Linked DNA regions of Saccharomyces cerevisiae S288C. The gene in region 2 interacts genetically with the main gene of each other region. Each region holds a gene or a part of one and is shown on either strand. Other genes may lie near its edges. The genes, in order: RAD5, REV1, RAD54 and SIC1.

Region 1 (6,038 bases), on a different chromosome or scaffold from region 2:
TCAAACCTCTTATTGATAGTTGTCAAAACTAATTTATCTTCATTACGTATCAAACCTTCAGAGTTACTTCTATTTTTAATGAATTTACAATATGATTCATATATCTTATCCGGATTTTTCTCAAAGAACTTGGCTGGAAAACTTTCATCTACTACATGACATTTCACAGAGGCAGCATTCAAAATGGATTGAACATTTACCAAAAAATCTACTAGTTTATTTCCACCTACACTTTCTGTCATAATGAAAACTTTCGATTTTCAAAATTATCTCTTATTTGATCCCGACTGATGATGATTTTCTTCGTCTTCGTATTTCTATCGTCCATGCCTTATGGCGCTGTTTTATTTTCTTAATTGTTTTTTTAATAATTGCAACTTAAAAATACGGGTAACGGAAAAGGAAGATAATAGAAGTTGCATGAAGTAGCTGAAGAATAATTAGTTCTTTCGGGTTGAAAATAATAATAAATAAAGTCTTTATATATGAGTATGTGGTATGACTATTCAAACAGCATCTGGATTTCTTCAATTCTCCTTTTTCTTCTCTCGTCTTCGTCTGTGTCCATGGCCTCACCGATGGTTCTCTTCTTTTCTTGAATGCGTAGCATTTTTTCTTCTATGCTATCTTGTATGATAAATCTCATAACTTTGACGCTGTTTGTCTGGCCAATTCTATGCAGTCTATCGATTGCCTGATCTTCCATACTGGGCGACCACCATGGGTCCATCATATAAGCGTGGGAAGCACACGTTAGATTCAAACCCACGCCACCAGCCTTCAGCGAGAGTAATAGGATTTTTTGCCTGCTATAGTCTTTAACGGCAAAATCTGCTAATACACTAGTTCTTTCTTTTAATGAGAGACGTCCATCGAATTTATAAATTTTTGCAACATCTTTTGAGAAAGTATGAGTTAGCTCTTTCTCCAGGATATCCAAGTATGTAGAAAATTGGGAAAAAATGACAACTTGTTCGCCTGCCGAACTATCCTGTAGCAATTGAAGCTCCTTCAATAAAGCAGTGATTTTGCTTGATTTGGAGGCTGGTGAATATGGTTTGAATTCCAAATTTTTCGAGTTGCTATTCGTTTGTACCAATGCCAACAACCGACAAGCGTCTATTTGGTTACGGCAATTGGGGCACTTTAAACCCAAATTCTTACTGTTCTGAAACTCAATATATTCAAATAAACATTTCTCACAAAAACTGTGGCCGCATTCTGTAAATAAAGCCTTGTCCAAATCCATAGGTTCCGTTGTGCAGATGGAGCACTCTAAGGACTGAAACGATTTATTGTCTGGATATTTAACTTTTAATCTTTGTATCATTGCATCTAATTCCTCCTTAGAAAATGAGTTATCGAATCTCTCGGAAACAACACGCATTAAAGAGTCAAGCTCCACCGTTTGTTCCGTAACCAATTTATTATTTTTAGATAAATCCTCATCGTTCTCATCTTGACTCCCAATAAGACCGGGATGGCAACAGACTTGCCTCAATCTTAAAATATGGACAAGGATAGTGGAGTACTTTTTCAATAAATCACCGCGTGCAATACCCGATTTAACAGAAACTTCAGCCTTATCCAACAGAAACTTGTATAGAAGATCTTGAGATTTACTGAAGGGAAGTCTTTTAATAACGACCTCCTTTGGTGGCAACTCTACTAATGGCTTACCATCTTTATCTTTCATTTGTTTTGTCCTTCTTAACAATACGGGTTCCAGAATTGCATTCACCACATCAAATGCTTGTTTGTAATTTTTACTCTCAAAAGGCGTTGATACAAAGGTCTTCCAGTAATTAATTTGCCGCCAGGGATCTAACTCTAAAAACTTAACCAGACTGTATAAATCGTCAAGCCTGTTAATAATTGGTGTTCCTGTTAAAACCCATTTACATTTGCCTTGTAAAGCCATGACTGCTTTAGATGTAACTGTCGTTCTGTTTCTAATGTTATGACCCTCGTCGATTATTATGCGATAAAAATTGACAGAAAATAAGCCTGAAGATATATTGACGTCCTCATCTGTCATCCTTCCCTTGGAATGTTTAGTCCATTCATTTTGAACAATACCATATGTAGTAAGGACTACAGTTGGAGGGGTTTTTGTCTTGGTTAATAGGGTTTTCAAACTGGAAACATTCCCACCATAATACACCTCATGATACATATCGGGGGAATTATTAGCTTTTGTAAACTCGTTACTCCACTGCGTTAACAAAGACATTGGGACCACGATTAGCGTTGTTTTTGAAGCATATGGTTTCTTATTATCTTGCCAAGTGCTTGGAAGATTATCTGAGACTGCTGTGTTCTCAATATCAAACAGTTTCTTGTCAACAACATCACTATCGTGAGGACAAGATAAAACTAAAGAATACGCTGCCACTGTTTTACCCAACCCCATTTCATCTGATAATATGCCACCCTTTATCATAGTTTTTAATATAGGTTTTGCTAGCGAAAATTCACCAGAATGTAAGTTCGCATAAAAGAATATGCCATCTTCAACGTTTACATGGTCCTGCTGCAAATTTTGAGCTGCCCACGACATATCATTTGGCCATTTGAACTGCTTCCATAATGGGTTTATCATATTAGCACCCGTTTCTGAAGCCTCACCATCAGAGGCTGCTTTGGCAAACTCTTGCTCCCTCCTTAGCATCCAAGTAAGACCTTGCTTTTGATAATTTCTTAGTTCTAGCTTGAAGACATCGCGAGAAGGTTCTGTTTCAGGCAAACTTTTTAAAGATTCTGATGATTGTGCGGCCTTATAAAATGTTTTCAATTGATTCAAGTTCATTGTTTCTTCTTCGTGCTGAGTATCTCGGAGATTGTTATGGACTTCAGTCACTTGATTAGAGCAAATCTCGTCGTTATCTAAATCAATGATTTCGGGGTCACTATTAAGCTCTATTTTATGCTTTTCTAATGCCTTCTGCTCGTCCAAAATAGGCTTTAGCCTCAATTTATCAAATAACTTTAGTAGAGCCAGTCTTTTCGAGCGGCTTTCTAGCTCTTCATCAGTTTCAGTCAATGTTCTTCCAAAATTTCCATTGTCTTTCTCTCTTTTATTTCCTCCCTCTGTACGTCTTCTTTTCATCAAGGATTCTCCATCATTACGTTCCTCAAAAATGAGAGATGTTAAAAAGCAATCCAATTGTAGAATAAAGCTATCACCTATACTCAACCGTTTATTATCACAAAAAATCAATGTAACTTCAAAACTTATTTCGTGTGAACTTAAAAGAGGGTATAGTATTTGAGCAATGTCTTCCGAAACTCTGCCAATTTCTCTATCATATTGGATATCAAAAATTCTTACCAAACTAGCCATGGACGCTTTCTTTCTACCACGTGAGTCATATACTTTAGTAGCAGAAATCTCTTCACTTGATCTCTTTAGCTTCATCTGAGAGCCGTACTTCAAGGGCCTGACGGTGGGTCTGGTAGCCATACCAGTGACTTGCAAAGCACCTATAAATCTTTTCCAAGTAACTTTATCTTCTAATCGTGTTTGGTTTCTGAACCCGTATATTCTTCTTCTTTTAGGATGGAATGAAGATGGGGACAAGGTTGAATTTGAGGTATCTGAGAGTGTATTTAGTTGATTCGGGGAAGACGGTATTTTGCTGATAGACGTCCCGCTATTGTGATCAAAGTAATGTGATAATGCTAAAGAGAGCCCTTCCTCCTGACTGCCGAATTTTTCATTAAGTTCCATCACAAGATCCTTTGGCATTTCTGGAATAATCCTTAAAAGCTCTGTAATAAACTGATTCTGGCCTTCTTCTTCTATTTCTCGCCTGACTGGCACAATAGATCGGTCTCCCTCTCCTTCTGTTGTATCACTCACTGATACAACAACATCATCATCATCATCATTATGACTATTTGCAAATAAAAACGACTCTTTATTCTCAGATTTGAAGTTTAACGATGTTTCTGAAGTGTCAAGGTCATCGTTAAAAAACCTCTTCCTTTCTTCCTGTTCAATATGACTCATATTGTGATACTGTAAGACTTTAGGTGTGTTTCTAAGGCCTTTTGATAATGTAACTTTGTAGATAATTTACTTTCAAGTGAGCAATGCGCTTAGCAGTAAGGAATAATGTGTGGAAAAGTTAAGGGTTTATGACGCGTAAAATTTTCAGCCAGACGACGCGCCAACTAACATGTAAGAAAGTAATAATTTATGAAAATTTAACTACTTATTGATTACTTAATCTTCTAATACAAGTATTTTTTGTTTCTAGAATAGAATTCAATCTATTTATCCGTGCAGAAAGGTCCAGAATGAGGGGTTTTACTTCATTTTGATTTACAAAGCCTTGCTCTTCTGCAGTTAATCTTTTGGATTTCTCTCTGATTATCTCAGAAAGAAACTCTATTATCACTGAACTTTTCTTTCTTCTCTCATTTTCCAACATCAGAAAAAGCAATTCGTTGTCAGTGTCCTGCGATAAAGTTCTTAACTTTTTCTCCAGGTCTTGTCTTCTTTTGATGGACTCTCGTACCCGAAAGCAAAGATTATTTAGTTTGGCTAATTGAAAATTTCTTTCTTTAATAGCAGCTAGCTCGCCTCCTTGGATTAACTCTGATGCAGATTCAAATTTAGATTCAAAGCTCTTTTCCAAAAACTGTAAAGTGTTCCATTTATCCCTTAAGGGATCATCATGCTTTTCAAATTCAAAGGCATCTAGAACATCAGAAACCTTAGTACCATGAAAGTCGATATTGGGATAAGAAGTTCTCGTATTTAAGACCGGCATAATAGGAGTTACTGGAACTGATGTGTTTACAGATGTAAAACCATCTGTTTCACTCAACTTCTTTTCAAGTTTGTTAATATTATTCTTAGCTTCAGCCTTCCTATGCTTATTTAGTATGTTTTCGAGGCGTATAATCTCAGTGATTAATCTGTTTTGTTCCCTTTGAAGATTTTTTTTTTTTCCTTCATCGAAGCTACCTTTATATTTTGGGCTGCTGAGTCAAACCGTTCTTCGCCAGATTGCAAATCCTCTCTTTCAGTCAAATTACCACACGTACTAATCTCTAAAGGGCTATGTTCATCTTCACCCGGTTTTAACGAAACGAAGCTGTCAGAAGAGCGTTTGTTTTCCGCCAAAGAAGTGTTTTTAAATGAAGAAAGCTCAGAATTGATATTGCCCTGCTCCAACACTTGTATAGGGGGGGTCTCTTCAAAGGAGAACAGGCCATACCTTTTGGAATCTCCTTCAGGACTCTTTTCATGTTCACTAGTCAGGTTTTCTCGGACATTCTGCTCGTTAAGATTATCAACTTCACCCAGGAGGCCTTCTCCCCGGTTACGTGCCTCCGATTTTACGTCACCGATTGACTTTATGCTATTCTTTCGAGACAATGGCCTCTTTTTAAAGAAAGTACTCACTCTCTTGATTAACCCAACAGAATTTTGACACTCTTCATTTGGATGTTCCTCAAAACTTAATCTCTGTTGAGCCACATTTCCTGAATATCTTTGAGTTGAGTACTCTTTATTTTGCCAACAATCATGGATAACCGGATGCTGCGGCAAGTCCATGTCCCGAAAAGTATTAGCTACCAACGTCATCTCGACATGGGGAGCGGGCTTTGTGATCATTTGTTTTGGAATCGAATAATGGATAATCCTTTTTGGAATGATCGGTGTCTCTTGAACATACTCCATAATTTGTTCACCTTCCATCTCATATATTACATATAAGGCCACACACAGACACAAGCTGAAACGAAAATATCTATAAATATACACTTCTTAATTTGTATTCAAGATATTCTTATCAAAGCACTTATTTTTTCATTATATTTCTATATTGATTTAAGGACGGTACGCTATTTTCTTTGTACCTTTTACTATGCATAAAAAAAGGGGAAGTGTTTAACAATCGACACTTACTTAATATGTTTTGCCGCCCTTCATAAGAGGGTGTTTCTAAAATTTATTGGGCAAGAATGAGATGGACTCGCACCCTACATGACGTTTAAATATTTAGTGTTAAGGTTCAGAACAT
Region 2 (5,237 bases):
GCAGCTGCAGCTACCGCAGCAATCTTGGAGCAAGATGGTAAGGCCATCGTTGTATTATCTACTACAGGGAACACGGCAAGGCTACTGTCGAAGTATAGACCAAGCTGCCCTATCATATTAGTAACAAGACACGCAAGAACGGCAAGAATTGCGCATTTGTATAGAGGTGTTTTCCCATTTCTGTATGAACCGAAACGCCTAGACGACTGGGGTGAGGATGTTCATAGGCGCCTAAAGTTTGGTGTTGAAATGGCGAGGTCTTTCGGAATGGTGGACAACGGTGATACTGTTGTTTCCATTCAAGGATTCAAAGGAGGAGTCGGCCATTCCAATACCTTACGCATTTCTACTGTTGGTCAAGAATTCTAGTAAAAATTAAAGTCCTTATTTTTTTTACTTAATTTTATTTAATTGTCCATTGTGTCAGTTATTTTTTTTTTCTTTGGTAATAATCATGCAGATATTACAGGTAATGTTCGCAAACTGCGTGTTTACTGTATGCTGAAATGTTTTTTTTTTTTTAATTCAAACTTCAAAGTCCATGTCAAGTTTACGCACAGTCTGGTAAGTATGTTTATTTCTGTTTAAAAGTGGAATTATATCATTGAGTAAAATTCTTTCCCACGTTTGGAAGCCTGAATGATCCTGATTTAAAAAGGCGCAGAGATTTAATTCCCTTGATATTAGGTTTGATAAATGAAGAACTAAATGGACTCTATTAGAATCGCAAAGTTTAATCAAATATTTCACGAATAATTTAACATCTTTTTCATGCGGCCCTCCATCACCTAAAGTTTCGGCAACCCATTGTTTCACTAATTGACAAATTTTTTTGAACCGTGTCAGATTTTGGAATTTGATCGGCTGGAATATACTATTTTGGCCCATGAAATGATTTTTCTCGTTCTGTAGGCTCTCTTCTCTCCTTTTTATCTTTTCTTGTAGGTTTCCTAACTTTGTCTGTTGGATTTTTTTCTGAATTCTCAAGTCGTGCCTTACTTCTGCTCGAATTTGGGTTGGTAGTTCATTCATAAACTGTTCTTCCATAGTACTGGGCAAATCATTTACTTCTAATCTGGAAATGGCAAATCCTTTTTTTTTAGAGCTCAATGAGTTTGAAGTCAACCCGGATTCTTTTCTCTTATAATTTCTTTTCTCGAACTCGTTGTTAATGTCATTTTTTACATCTTCCGGTAAGGCTTCGAAAGCTCTGTTCGTCACTATTGTTTTAAACGGTAACCTCAGTTTCAGCTGATTGTTATCCGGACCCACATCAACCAATTTGTTGAATTGTAGAGCAAGACCTCTTAATTCCATTGGAGGGCAGCCCAAAGTTCGATACAAACTTTTCATTTCGGTAGCAATAATTCCAAATTCGTTTGTTGGAATACCTAATCTGCTGCTCCGACTGAATGAGTCGCACCTTCCCATCCCCATATATTTTGGGGGTTCAATTGGAGCGTCTTTACATCTTCTCATCAGTTTTAATGTGATTTGTGACGTTGTTTTGTTTATTTCATTCAATTTTTCTAAAAGATACTGACAACCTCTTTCTATGAACAAGTCTACCTGAGTGATATTTTTAAATCTGATTCCCCAATTGATATCAATTGATAATGATTTTCTTTGTAAGACTTCTTTGGGATCGTACAGTATTTTCAAGCTTTCTTCATCATCTTGGCCTTGTAACGCGAGATGAATCTTCATACCTAACTTAGAGCCGACGCTCGCCTTCAAAGCATCTAAAGTATATCTTTTTCTCAAGTCATTTAAAGAATGTGGGCTATCAAACGTTGATTCTAACCTTGACAGAGTAGAATGCCCAACTCCAGGCAGATCATCTAGTTTGAAACTAGACCAGAATTCTTCAGATAGGTTACTCTTAAACGTGATATTGTAACCATTTGGTTTCGCCATTTTGAGAGCTAGTCTTGCTAACACAAGAGAATCGGAACATCCAATGCTCACTGTGCAACCATTCGTTCCTTGAAAAATTTCTTGGCGTATTTCTTCGCACAGTCTTGCATTTAAGGTATTAGTGTTATGAATATTATCAGGGATTATCCTCACACAAACAGCTTCATCAATAGATATAGGTAAAATCAAATTGAATATGTTCAATCTTTTGAGAGTACTGTAAAAGGCTTCCGATTTTAATTGAAATTGCTCAAAGGTATATGGTAATGATATTAGTTTGATCCCATTTGGCAACATCTTTTCAGCTTGAGACACCCACATTCCATTTTTAATCCCATATGACCTTGCTACATAATTGCAACTAGCTATATCGGAGTTTTTAGTACCATGGCATACCACTATAGGATCCCGTTTAAAATCACATGCTGAGAAACTAGAACTTCTACATAGATACGCAACAGTTGCAAAAAAACAGTCAAAATCGATATGAAAGATAATGTAGGTATCCTTATCCGTAATTTTGGTGTACTTGTGGATGTTTTCATTCAGAAATTTATCTTTCAGATTGGCCTTCCATGCGGAGAGATGATGTAATCTCGAATGAGCAAAATAGGAAGTAAGGAAATCAGGATCATCACAAGCGACTATCCTTTTCGCCTCCAAATTATTGAGATTTACTGGTGACTGCTGTTCTACTGGCAACAATGCCGACCCTACACATTTAGATCCTTTGTGCAGGCTAGTCTCTGAGGGCAATGGAATTGAATTTACGGTTTTACAATTATCTAGTTTTTTTTGCTGTTCATCAAGTTTAGATGTTAACGAGTAATTTTGCCAGGGCAATAATCTTGCTTCTTTGACGCTATCAACTATCCAATCCGGACTGACTACTTTGTAATTTGCAAATTCAATCCTTTTCTTTAATGGTAAATTGGAAGCCACTATGTGAGTAACCGTTTTCTTTGAAGACAAATAGTGTAAAAATTTTCCGCCATGTAAAACTATCATCTCGTGTAATTGCAGTCTTCCAGGTTTGGTGTAGCCATTTATATAGATGACGCAATTTTTGAATATTTTACTGCTTTGACTAGAAATTTGATCTTTATATTGATCTTTTAATATTTGATCTTGCAGGGTTTGTCCGTGCGCCTTCTCGTGGAAATAAGCCTCCCTAGTATACACAGTATTTTTTTTAACATCATCACCATTGCTATCACTTTCCTGGATCTCGATGACGCTACGAGCTATAGGTGAATCTTCGCCACCGCCAAGATCAGCATGTAATTCATCACAGCTAATATTTTTAGTAGTAAATCTTAAAGTACCTGCAGTTGGATTAGAATTATTCTTATTAGTTTGGGAGAGTTGGTTGACATATTCAATTAAGGAATCATCGCTTAACGTAGATAGAAAAGACCTTGCATTCAAGCCGCCGGTCTTTGCTGTTAAATGTGAATCATTGACACTTTGCTGGCTAAGGCAATTGTTTTTATCAGGTGTTTCCCTATTTATAGAGTATTCCAAATCGCTGTCCAATAAATCTACAAGACCACCATGTTCACCCATCGCTGGATATGCCTAGAAATGCAGTATCGATTTATTTTGAGAAAATCTGTCAACTCGTTACTTCTTTGATAGGGAAATCTTTAGTTAAATTTGTTTAAAATTAAGAACCAGGTCTTTAGACTATGCCAAAAGGTATTGGTGCTTAAAGGTTGCCGTAAACTCTAACTCTATATATCTCTAAGCCAATGTTTAAGTTGATGCGATGTGCATGATCACTTCACATTTTTTTCATGATTTTGTTTTCTTCCTTAGCTACTTTTTTCCGTCTTGGTCTGTGTAAAAAAAAAATCGCTTCACTGAAGAAAAATATAAATAAAAAAAGGACATCAGCAAGTTCGTAGTCAATAAATGTGATGAGTAATTTGCGATAATCTACCCCAACTCAAAGCATTCAATTCAAATGAAAGAAGAGTTCGTGAATTTTAATCTGGCTTACAGATTGGATCATAGCTTCTAATATATCTTCCTTTTTATTTTAAAGTGATTAAAATATGTGGATGTCTGCATTAAGGTGAAGGCAGACTATAGTGAAAAATAGTAGCAAAGGCTTCATATAATGAACTACCTAGTTGTATTCAATTGGAATCTGTGAACGCGGCATTAAAAGAATATTTGAGCTTTTTTTGATTGTATTAACCTGAAGCTATCACGGTTTAGACTCATTAAAAGAAAAATATCCGGTTGTATCGGATAACAACACCGCTGTAGTAGCACAGTTTTTTGATCATAGTTTCATTATTTTTTTAAATATGCTTGTATACAGTAATCTAGTTTTGGACGGATTATTCATGTCAGTAAGATTTTACTATCTACTTTAAAATTATCGAAACAGATATCAACTATACATCCACTCATTATTGGCATAGCGAAATAAAATTTATGAATAGGAAGGATATAAAACGAAAATTGAAATCGTTTAGTATTATATGAAACTATTAGTCTTTTCGTTTTCGTCGTCATACTTACATTCTTCTTTTATAAATATTGTTGTGCCTAAGAAACAAAATTAAGTAACTGTCTAAAACGAAGTTGCAAAAAAAGGGGCGAGCTGGGAATTGAACCCAGGGCCTCTCGCATGCTTTGTTCCTCCTGTTTGATCAGGGGGATCGCCCAAAGCGAGAATCATTCCACTAGACCACACGCCCATACAATTTGTGATTTCTCAAAGTTCAAGATGAAGTATTATAATTTTATATTCATTTTCCTCAGTCCCAAAAACGAATGGTTGAAGAGAACTGTTGGAATAAAAATCCACTATCGTCTATCAACTAATAGTTATACTATCAATATATTATCATATACGGTGTTAAGATGATGACACAAGTTATGAGAAGCTGTCATCGAAGTTAGAGGAAGCTGAAGTGCAAGGATTGATAATGTAATAGGATAATGAAACATATAAAACGGAATGAGGAATAATCGTAATATTGGTATATAGAAATATAGATTCCATTATGGGGATTCCTAGACCCTCGAGGAGAACTTCTAGTATATTCTGTATACCTAATATTATAGCCTTTATCAACAATGGAATCCCAACAATTATCTCAACATTCACCCATTTCTCAAGAACATTGTTGAAATGTAGCGCAATAAGTGGTGATTGATACCAACGTTTGCTGCTACGTTAGCAACCTAAACGCTTACACCAAATGTTTAAATTAGTATACTTTTCGAAAATTCGGTGGATATTAGAATAATTTTTAAGATCCTATTGATGATTAAAGCTATAATTGGGTAAAATAAGCATATTC
Region 3 (5,136 bases), on a different chromosome or scaffold from region 2:
ATCATCCTTAGGAATCTGGACGACAAAGTTCGTTATTGTCTTTAGCGCATATGTGGATGCTATCGATATTCCGGATTTTATAGCAAATGTAACGGCTTGTGAACCTGCTTTGGCAAGAATTTCATCCATTCTCTTCAGATATTGGTGTTAGGTAATAGTTAAAGTTAATCCTTCTGAGAGTGTGAAACTGTATCAGATTTTTATTTCCCTGACAGCGTGAGATTTTCTTGCCATAATCTTTTTTGGCAGTTTCGGCTGGCACTTTACCACGATAAAACTGAAGATAATGAAAAATTTAAAAGCTAGCACAAGTATAATATGACATCGCTCAACTTTTTTTACCCTTAAGTTATACGATTATACTTTTTTGATTGAAATACATAGAGATATTTACCAATTTGGCCCCAATTTTCAATTGTTTATTACGTCTAAATATATATAACCATGCCCATCATTTAAAATAAATATGTAATGACCCCCCGACGATCGAATTCTACTTTTTGTTTTTGTTTTATAAGTACATGTATGTAAGAGATCAATGTGAAATATATTGAAATGCAAAACTGATATCATTGTAATGATGCTCGTTTTTTAGTAGATGATCATTTGTTTTTTCCAATGCGTCATGGTTCAAATGATTCCAAGTTGTCGCATCACCATATAACATTGCAGGGGCTCTCTTTAATTGTTTACCCTGAGCATTACAACGTTTACAATGGTATGTTTCGTGTGTTTCACATATCGTATTCTCATTTTTTTGAAACAACTGTCTTAAATTGTCAGAACTAAACAACCTTTCAACGTCTTCTTTCGCATCGACCACGCATGAACTCAAACTCATTTTCATAGATTGTCTTTGAAAGATTTTTTCCTCTATGGTACCAGTCGATATGAATCTGTAAATGAAACAATCCTTTTTTTGACCGTCTCTCCAAACACGTGCCAAAGCTTGTTGATCAGCAGCAGGATTCCAATCCGGATCCATCAAAATTAATCGATTTGCACCAATCAAATTGATACCACACCCACCTGCTTTAGAACTTAAGAGGAAGATGAACTCTTGGCCTTCAGGATCGTTGAACCTATCCACCAATTTTTGTCTTTTGTTAATTGACATTGTACCATCCAACCGTACAGCACTGTAGTGCTTATATCTACACATTTTTTCAATGAGGTCCAAGGTTTGGGTATAGTTGGAGATCAAAACAATCTTATCATCGGATTCGGTCTTTATCTTATGGAGAAATCTTTCCAAAATGGAAAATTTAGCTGAATATTTTGTTTGTACGTCCCTGGCTTTTGAACCCGGCATATTATAATCGTCAGGTAGTTCCAAATCATCTTCATCGTCAAATTCATCTTCAAAATTCAAGAGATTAGGGTGATTACATAGCTTCTTTAAAATACCAATAGCCCTCAGGGGCTGAGACCCACCAACACCTTTTACTACTTTTTTCACTTCTCTTGACTTAATTAATTTATTGTAGAGCTCGTTCTGCAACGGCTTCAAGTTTACGAAAATAACGTGCTCATACTTGCAAGGCAAATATTTGGCCAAAATATCGTTAGTACGACGGATAATAAATTTGGAGACAATGGTAGATAGCTTCTGTAATTGCGCCTCGCCCTTTGTGATTTCTTTATCAGTAGCATCAGCATCACGCCCTCGCAAAATTGGATTCTCAAAATTTTTCCTAAATTCTGCTCTGGAACCTAATAAGCCAGGATTCGAAAAACTCAGTAGAGCAAAATATTCGGAAAGATCGTTTTGAATGGGTGTACCAGATAATATAACTCTTCTAGGACAACTGATGCTATCCAAAGCTGTGAATGTTAAAGAGTCACCGTTTTTCAAACGGTGCCCTTCATCTGCCAGCATTAAACCCACATTGCAGTTTTTCAATTGATCAACATTTCGACGTAATGTTTCATACGATATGATTAAAACGGGCTTAACAATATTTCTTCCCTGTGCCTGAGCCCAGGCATGAATAGCTTGCGAAACTGTTGTATTACCACCACCCATTGAAGATTTTTTCCCATCAACCGCTAACGGAGTTAGAGTATTGGGACCCAACCATTTTATCAATTCATTAGCCCAGTTGTTGACTAAAGAAGATGGACAAACAATGATACATTTGTCGATAAGTCTTTTACCCTGCGGGCCCTGTCTTAATAATGTCCACATAAGTGCTATACACTGCAATGTCTTACCCAGCCCCATTTCATCGGCCATGATGCAGCCGTAGGCCCCTCTATTGTTTTGTTCAGTCTTTTGAGATTCAGTAAGTGCCTTCTCGTCGCTCTTTAAGGGATCTTCGCTTGAAGTGTTGAACGCCTCAGCTTCTAAGTAATCTTTCATGACAAGCCCTGTGACACAACGGTATAAGAATCTCACCCCTTCGACTTGATGGGGTCTTAAAATCTTGGCCAGTTTTGGATCAATAACCACAGGGACACTAGCAAATTTCTTCTTGTTTTCCGCAGAGTTTTCCGAATCACCGAGTAGCTCACGTAACGGTTTGTTTCTCACACCATTTGTCATCAAAGCTGGATGGCGTCCTATTCTTTGTGTGGGTCTTTCTTCCTGGCTATTCTTTTCCTTGTTAATATTATCCTTTTCCTGTGTGCTTTTGATCATTTTCTTTGATTCTTCTTCCTTGTTATCCATAGATGTGTCATGGACAATCATTTCACCGTCAACGGACGGGTCATAAAGCACTATGGCAAATTCGTCTGTAGGGTCATGTAGAGGTCGAGGTTCTGGAGTAATTTTTTTTTTCATTCCTAACGTTAATGGCAGACTGTGTCTTTGTACATATCCCTTGATTGGCACAGTGAAAGATCTTCTCAAAGTGTACTGGATATGACTCAGTCTTGTCGGATCCTTGGCCAACCTTTGAGCACTAAGAGCATCCTTCCGTCGTTTAGTCAACTGAGAAAAACTTATGTCTTGGCTGTTGTACTCTGCTTCGTCCGCATTTATATCCAAGCCGGAATAACATACAGTCGCTGATCTTTTCCTCAAGCTCCTTCCTCCTACGATATTATCAGACCCGGTGGCGATTCTACCAGCAGCGGGCGGGATGTGCGTGTTCTTGTACGGGACCCTGAACGGTTTCGTTAGTCGGTTCACCGAGTCTTGTACGTTAATAGGCCTAGGTACCAGTCTCGGCCGTTCACCGGCTCCTATTCCATTTGGTGGTCTGTCTGGTAATCTGCGTCTTGCCATCAGTTATAAGGAAATATATATGGTACCTTGAAATAGAGCTAAGTTCTGAGCGTTTGATTTTTCTATACTTTCGTAGCAGCTTTAGTGAAGAAAGAGAAAAGTTGCTGCTCTAGATTTTGTATCGGCTATTACGTCAAGTGAGAAGAGTTTTGGCCTTCGCTTCAGTTAGATCTTCTATTATTTCCTTTTTTTTCTTTTTGTTTGTAATTGTTTTTTATTTTTTTTTTTGCGCGAAACTTTGCTATATTGGGTAACGCGTAAAATACTTTTTATTATTGCAGTAAGGCGGAAGGGTCTTCCCCTTTGCATGTTAAATAGCATACATGGCACCACTCAGGTCCAGAACGTGACACATCTTTGCACCACTTGTGTATTTTCAAGATGTTAAATTTTTGATACATAAGCTTTATCATGCAGGTGCAGTAGACGCATTTGCGTACGCGTTGAGTAGTAATGCAAGAACGCAACAATTTCACGCTTTCTACTTAAGAGGACAGATCTTCGAGCAGAATATTTTTCTCCTAGCGCGGCTTTCAGAATCTTCTTACCATCTGCAGGACATCACATGCAAGCACATGAAGCTGGAACCACGCACCATTAAATGTAAACCTACAGACATAGCTAGCACAGAAATGCTACTTTGGAAACCTCGGTTGCATCGGCTGACCTCGGCTGTTCAGCAACGTGAGCTGGTTGTTGTTATTGTTCATAGAATCCTGTATTTTACCAGTGTAGCTTTGTCCGCCCACCCCACGCTTTTGGCCACTAGTATGTACGTATATGCGTGGGCTCTATATCATTGAAAACGAATTTTCCACGCAAAACCCACTTCACACCATAAAGGCCTTATGACGATGTACATTCTTCCCCTCCCCCCTCCTCCCGAAGGAACCCTTATAGTGATCCTAATACGGTATAACGTAAACCGGAGTTGTCAGCAGAGAGAAGCGAATAATATGTTTTGCGTGGGGTTCCCACGAGCGGCAGGAACCGTAGCGCATTGAAAAATGAATCATCGATCATCTTTGGGTTTCAAGGGTTCGGACTTCGCCAAAGGTCCGAATACTTCCACCAGTATTTCTCTTTTTCCCTTTCCAGTCTCGTTCTTCGCCGAATCCCCGCTTTCCCATCATGATCGTTTCTCTGTTTCTCTCTTTCCGGAACAGGCTCTTTTCTGACCGCCAGTTCGTGCGGTTAGTTCTGTGGATCTTGCAGGCACTTGCCGGTTTAGCCACACTTCTCCGCTGTTTGTGTCGAATTTCCCTCGAGTATGAGAAAGACTGGACCACAAAAGAGGGAAAAAAAATGGGCCGATTTTAAACCATTATAGGTCACAGAAAAACTTTCTTACGACGGTGGTTTTTCAACAATACGTTTCTTGAGCAGGAGAGGAGCTTTGTTCTTTTGCCTTAGTTTTTTTTGTCTTTTTTTGTGAGCCATCCTGCTGTCGTTGCCATACATGACAGATCCACATTTGCCTTGTTGTTTTTAGTTTTTGTTCCTTGCACCATATAAAAGCGTCACTTGTATTTTCCTTACTCATCTAAACTTCAAGCTTTTTCGTCATAGTAGGTTTGTGATCTCGGCAAAGAAAAAAAATTTTTTTGCCGATCTTTCTGGTTATTGTTTCAGGTATCTTTATGAAAGTATTAGTGTACGCACTGGATTTTTGGTAGGTCTATAAAAGTGCAACACATAATCTAAATCATTGAGGTCATCGTATGTCAAAAGAAGATGTCCACAAGCATTACAGTAAGAAATAGAGATCGATCGCTACCACCGCTATTGCTCCCCAATGTTTCCCTGCTAGAAAAAGATATACGGCGTAAAGGCACCCAAAATGTGGGCATCACCGATCCAGAACTCTTGTCGACCACTTGGACGAGGAAGCGGGCTTTTCCGAC
Region 4 (3,251 bases), on a different chromosome or scaffold from region 2:
TAAGCATGAAGGAGAAGACGTTGTCCGCAAAAGAGAAATTAAAAAGATAGCTTGCGGGTCGTACCATACACTGGCAATAGATAAGACTGGTGAAATTTATGCCTTTGGCTGGAATAGGTTCGGCCAATTGGCACTACCTATTTCGTACAATCTAGAATATGTTTCTTTCCCAAGATCGGTAACGCATGCATTTAAACCGCATTTCCCGGGGATGACGAATTGGAAATGTGTGGATATTCATTGTGATGATGAAACATCGTTTGTGACCATTCGTAAGCCTGGCTCAACGTCAGACCATCATTATTTCGCGTTTGGTAATGGACTTTTTGGTGAATTGGGCAACAACACTTTCAAGAACTCGCAATGTGATCCCATAAAAATCAAGTCGGATGACAAGAAATTGACCAACTGGAGTTGCGGCTCTCATTGTGTGTTCACTGAAACTGAACAAGAAAACGAGGTCATTGCATGGGGTAATAACGACCATGGCCAACTAGGTATTGGAAAGAAAACTATGAAATGCGCTAAGCCAATGAACATTCCCGAAGTTCTCAAACCAGGACAAGACACGACAGATTTGGACTCAATTTATAACAGTAAATTACACTTAAAAAAGGAGCAACGTGTAGTCACCAATGGTAATAAAAGTTGCTTATACTGGCGGGTTTGAGAAACGAAAGAGCATAGAAGGAAAGTAGCGAGATTCGCGATGTTTTTTCAACCCTTATAATGATGCATGTATATATGGTATGTTTATTTATATATAGAACTCACGGTTACTTCTATCTTAACCATTTCAACACATAATAAATACCTATGATCAAGAGAATTAACGCGATCCAAAAGACTAGTTTATCTTTGAACACCCGTTTATTGATAGAGGTGATAGTTTGTTCCGAAACACCCAATGTTCTTAGGCCATTTGACATTCTATCTTGTACCTTGGATAAAATTTTGTTTTGTTCCACTATATTTTCGAATGATTGTTGGCCCATTTCTAGAATGTAATCTAATTGAGCGTTACCCCTTTCGAAAACAGACTGTTCCTTTTGTAGCCCTTGGTACAACGGTAGTCCCCCACCGTTGCTAGAGCCCTCTTTACCATTTGCACTCGCACCACCAACGTTCCTTTTATTCATGATGGTCTCTGATGTACTAAAGGGGTTATCGGAGTCCATAACATGCGATGCTCCTGAGCCAAACAACTGAGTTCTGGAATTATTTTCGTTGTAGGATTGTTTTAAATCCTTAAACTTGGCAGTAAAGTCGTGCAGATCCTGTGTTAAAGTTGCTAGTCGATTAGCGAACTTAGGATCAATTTCCTCTGCATTAGTATCTTCTTTATATCTGTTTAAATGTTCTGCATATTGCTTAACTGTTTTCTCCAGTGAGACCAGAGTTGCAGAGATGGACCCTTGTAAAGAAATAGGGGCGGTCACAGAATTCTTTTCAAACCTGGCCAACTCTTGTTGTAGTTGATTTTTTTGCTTCACAGCATGGTTGTAAAGAGCGTTCTATTTGATGGTAGTAGCAAAATACCCTGTTAGTATTACATCTTGTTTTAGCAATAATGAGAAAAGATGCCTCCGGCGATCAAACATACCATTCCCCCCTCAAATCAATATGATTAAGTCACGATAATATCTGCACTATTGCCGTGTTTCCTTCTCCATCGACAGCGTCGATCCTGTCTATTATAGCCAGCACACTGAAAATTTCAATGGCTGGCTTGTTGTTCGCGTCGCAACTTTTGATATTTATAAAAAGAGAGAAGGCATATCCAAAGGATAAGGTATTGTCTTTGTAAATCAATCAACCAAACCTCTACGGAATTTTGACCCTTGAAGCAGGGACTATTACACGAAAATGACTCCTTCCACCCCACCAAGGTCCAGAGGGACTAGGTACCTTGCGCAGCCTAGTGGCAATACTAGTTCTAGTGCCCTAATGCAAGGTCAAAAGACCCCCCAAAAGCCTTCACAGAACCTAGTCCCTGTCACTCCCTCAACAACTAAGTCTTTTAAAAATGCGCCATTATTAGCACCTCCCAATTCGAACATGGGTATGACCTCTCCATTTAATGGGCTTACGTCTCCTCAACGCTCGCCGTTTCCAAAATCTTCAGTGAAGAGGACACTATTCCAATTTGAAAGTCATGATAATGGAACAGTAAGGGAAGAGCAGGAACCATTGGGTCGTGTAAATAGGATATTGTTTCCCACGCAGCAAAATGTGGATATAGATGCAGCAGAAGAAGAAGAAGAAGGAGAAGTTCTTCTTCCCCCCAGCAGACCTACATCTGCCAGGCAGTTACATTTATCACTTGAAAGAGATGAGTTTGATCAGACACATAGAAAGAAGATTATTAAAGATGTACCTGGTACGCCCAGCGACAAGGTGATAACATTTGAATTGGCAAAAAATTGGAACAACAACTCTCCGAAAAATGACGCCAGGAGTCAAGAAAGTGAAGACGAGGAAGACATCATCATCAATCCAGTGCGGGTGGGTAAAAATCCCTTTGCATCAGATGAACTGGTCACTCAGGAAATTAGAAATGAACGTAAAAGGGCAATGTTGAGAGAAAACCCAGATATAGAAGACGTAATAACATATGTCAATAAGAAGGGAGAGGTGGTAGAGAAACGAAGGTTAACGGATGAAGAAAAGAGAAGATTCAAGCCAAAGGCATTGTTTCAATCTAGGGATCAAGAGCATTGAAGAAATGAAAAAAAAAAGTTTCTGGAACGATTATATTTTATTTACTTACTTATTCTACATTTATTTGCAAAGGGGCATTAACATCAACATTTTACATATTATAATATATACAGGATATTCTATATTACAACATTAACAGGATTTTTAACTTTTCCTTACCGTATTCTTTTATTCTGGTTTTCTGTCTTCAGAATAATAGCATATTTCATTGTAGTATTTCGTCAAAGCGAGTTAGGGGAGGATGACTACAAGAAAGACAGCTTCCTCTCTTCAGCTTTTAGGGAAAATCACAGGAACAAAAGCTGGAACTAAGCAAAAGAAGATGAATTTCATTAATGGACTGATATGGTTATATATGTGTGTGTGGATGGTACACGGAAAAGTGACGCAGAAGGATGAATTGAAATGGAATAAAGGATACTCGCTACCAAATTTGCTAGAAGTGACAGATCAGCAAAAAGAACTTTCACAATGGACTTTGGGTGACAAAGTAAAACTTGAAGAAGGGAGGTTTGTTTTAACTCCTGGAA

What was found.
Region 1: mutations in REV1 (region 2) and RAD5 impair growth when combined (synthetic growth defect), as found in Saccharomyces cerevisiae (5 studies listed by BioGRID, with this or other methods).
Region 3: mutations in REV1 (region 2) and RAD54 together harm fitness more than expected from each alone (negative genetic interaction), as found in Saccharomyces cerevisiae (6 studies listed by BioGRID, with this or other methods).
Region 4: mutations in REV1 (region 2) and SIC1 together harm fitness more than expected from each alone (negative genetic interaction), as found in Saccharomyces cerevisiae (4 studies listed by BioGRID, with this or other methods).

What each region holds. Positions count from the first base shown.
Region 1 is NC_001144.5:202,965-209,002, reverse strand, and holds RAD5 (DNA helicase RAD5), read right to left. Parts: upstream 4,013-6,038; coding exon 503-4,012; downstream 1-502. Other genes in the region: RSC58 (Rsc58p), read right to left, coding at 1-242; YLR031W (uncharacterized protein), read right to left, coding at 4,218-4,778; YLR030W (uncharacterized protein), read right to left, coding at 4,922-5,713. UniProt on the Saccharomyces cerevisiae protein: Probable helicase, member of the UBC2/RAD6 epistasis group. Functions with the DNA repair protein RAD18 in error-free postreplication DNA repair.
Region 2 is NC_001147.6:980,074-985,310, reverse strand, and holds REV1 (deoxycytidyl transferase), read right to left. Parts: upstream 3,484-5,237; coding exon 526-3,483; downstream 1-525. Other genes in the region: pyruvate kinase PYK2, read left to right, coding at 1-369. UniProt on the Saccharomyces cerevisiae protein: Deoxycytidyl transferase involved in DNA repair. Transfers a dCMP residue from dCTP to the 3'-end of a DNA primer in a template-dependent reaction.
Region 3 is NC_001139.9:193,172-198,307, forward strand, and holds RAD54 (DNA-dependent ATPase RAD54), read right to left. Parts: upstream 3,233-5,136; coding exon 536-3,232; downstream 1-535. Other genes in the region: YRB30 (Yrb30p), read right to left, coding at 1-129; SUT1 (Sut1p), read left to right, coding at 4,967-5,136. UniProt on the Saccharomyces cerevisiae protein: Plays an essential role in homologous recombination (HR) which is a major pathway for repairing DNA double-strand breaks (DSBs), single-stranded DNA (ssDNA) gaps, and stalled or collapsed replication forks.
Region 4 is NC_001144.5:284,954-288,204, forward strand, and holds SIC1 (cyclin-dependent protein serine/threonine kinase inhibiting protein SIC1), read left to right. Parts: upstream 1-1,866; coding exon 1,867-2,721; downstream 2,722-3,251. Other genes in the region: FMP25 (Fmp25p), read left to right, coding at 1-670; BOS1 (Bos1p), read right to left, coding at 783-1,514, 1,604-1,606; EMP46 (Emp46p), read left to right, coding at 2,963-3,251. UniProt on the Saccharomyces cerevisiae protein: Substrate and inhibitor of the cyclin-dependent protein kinase CDC28. Its activity could be important for faithful segregation of chromosomes to daughter cells. It acts in response to a signal from a post-start checkpoint.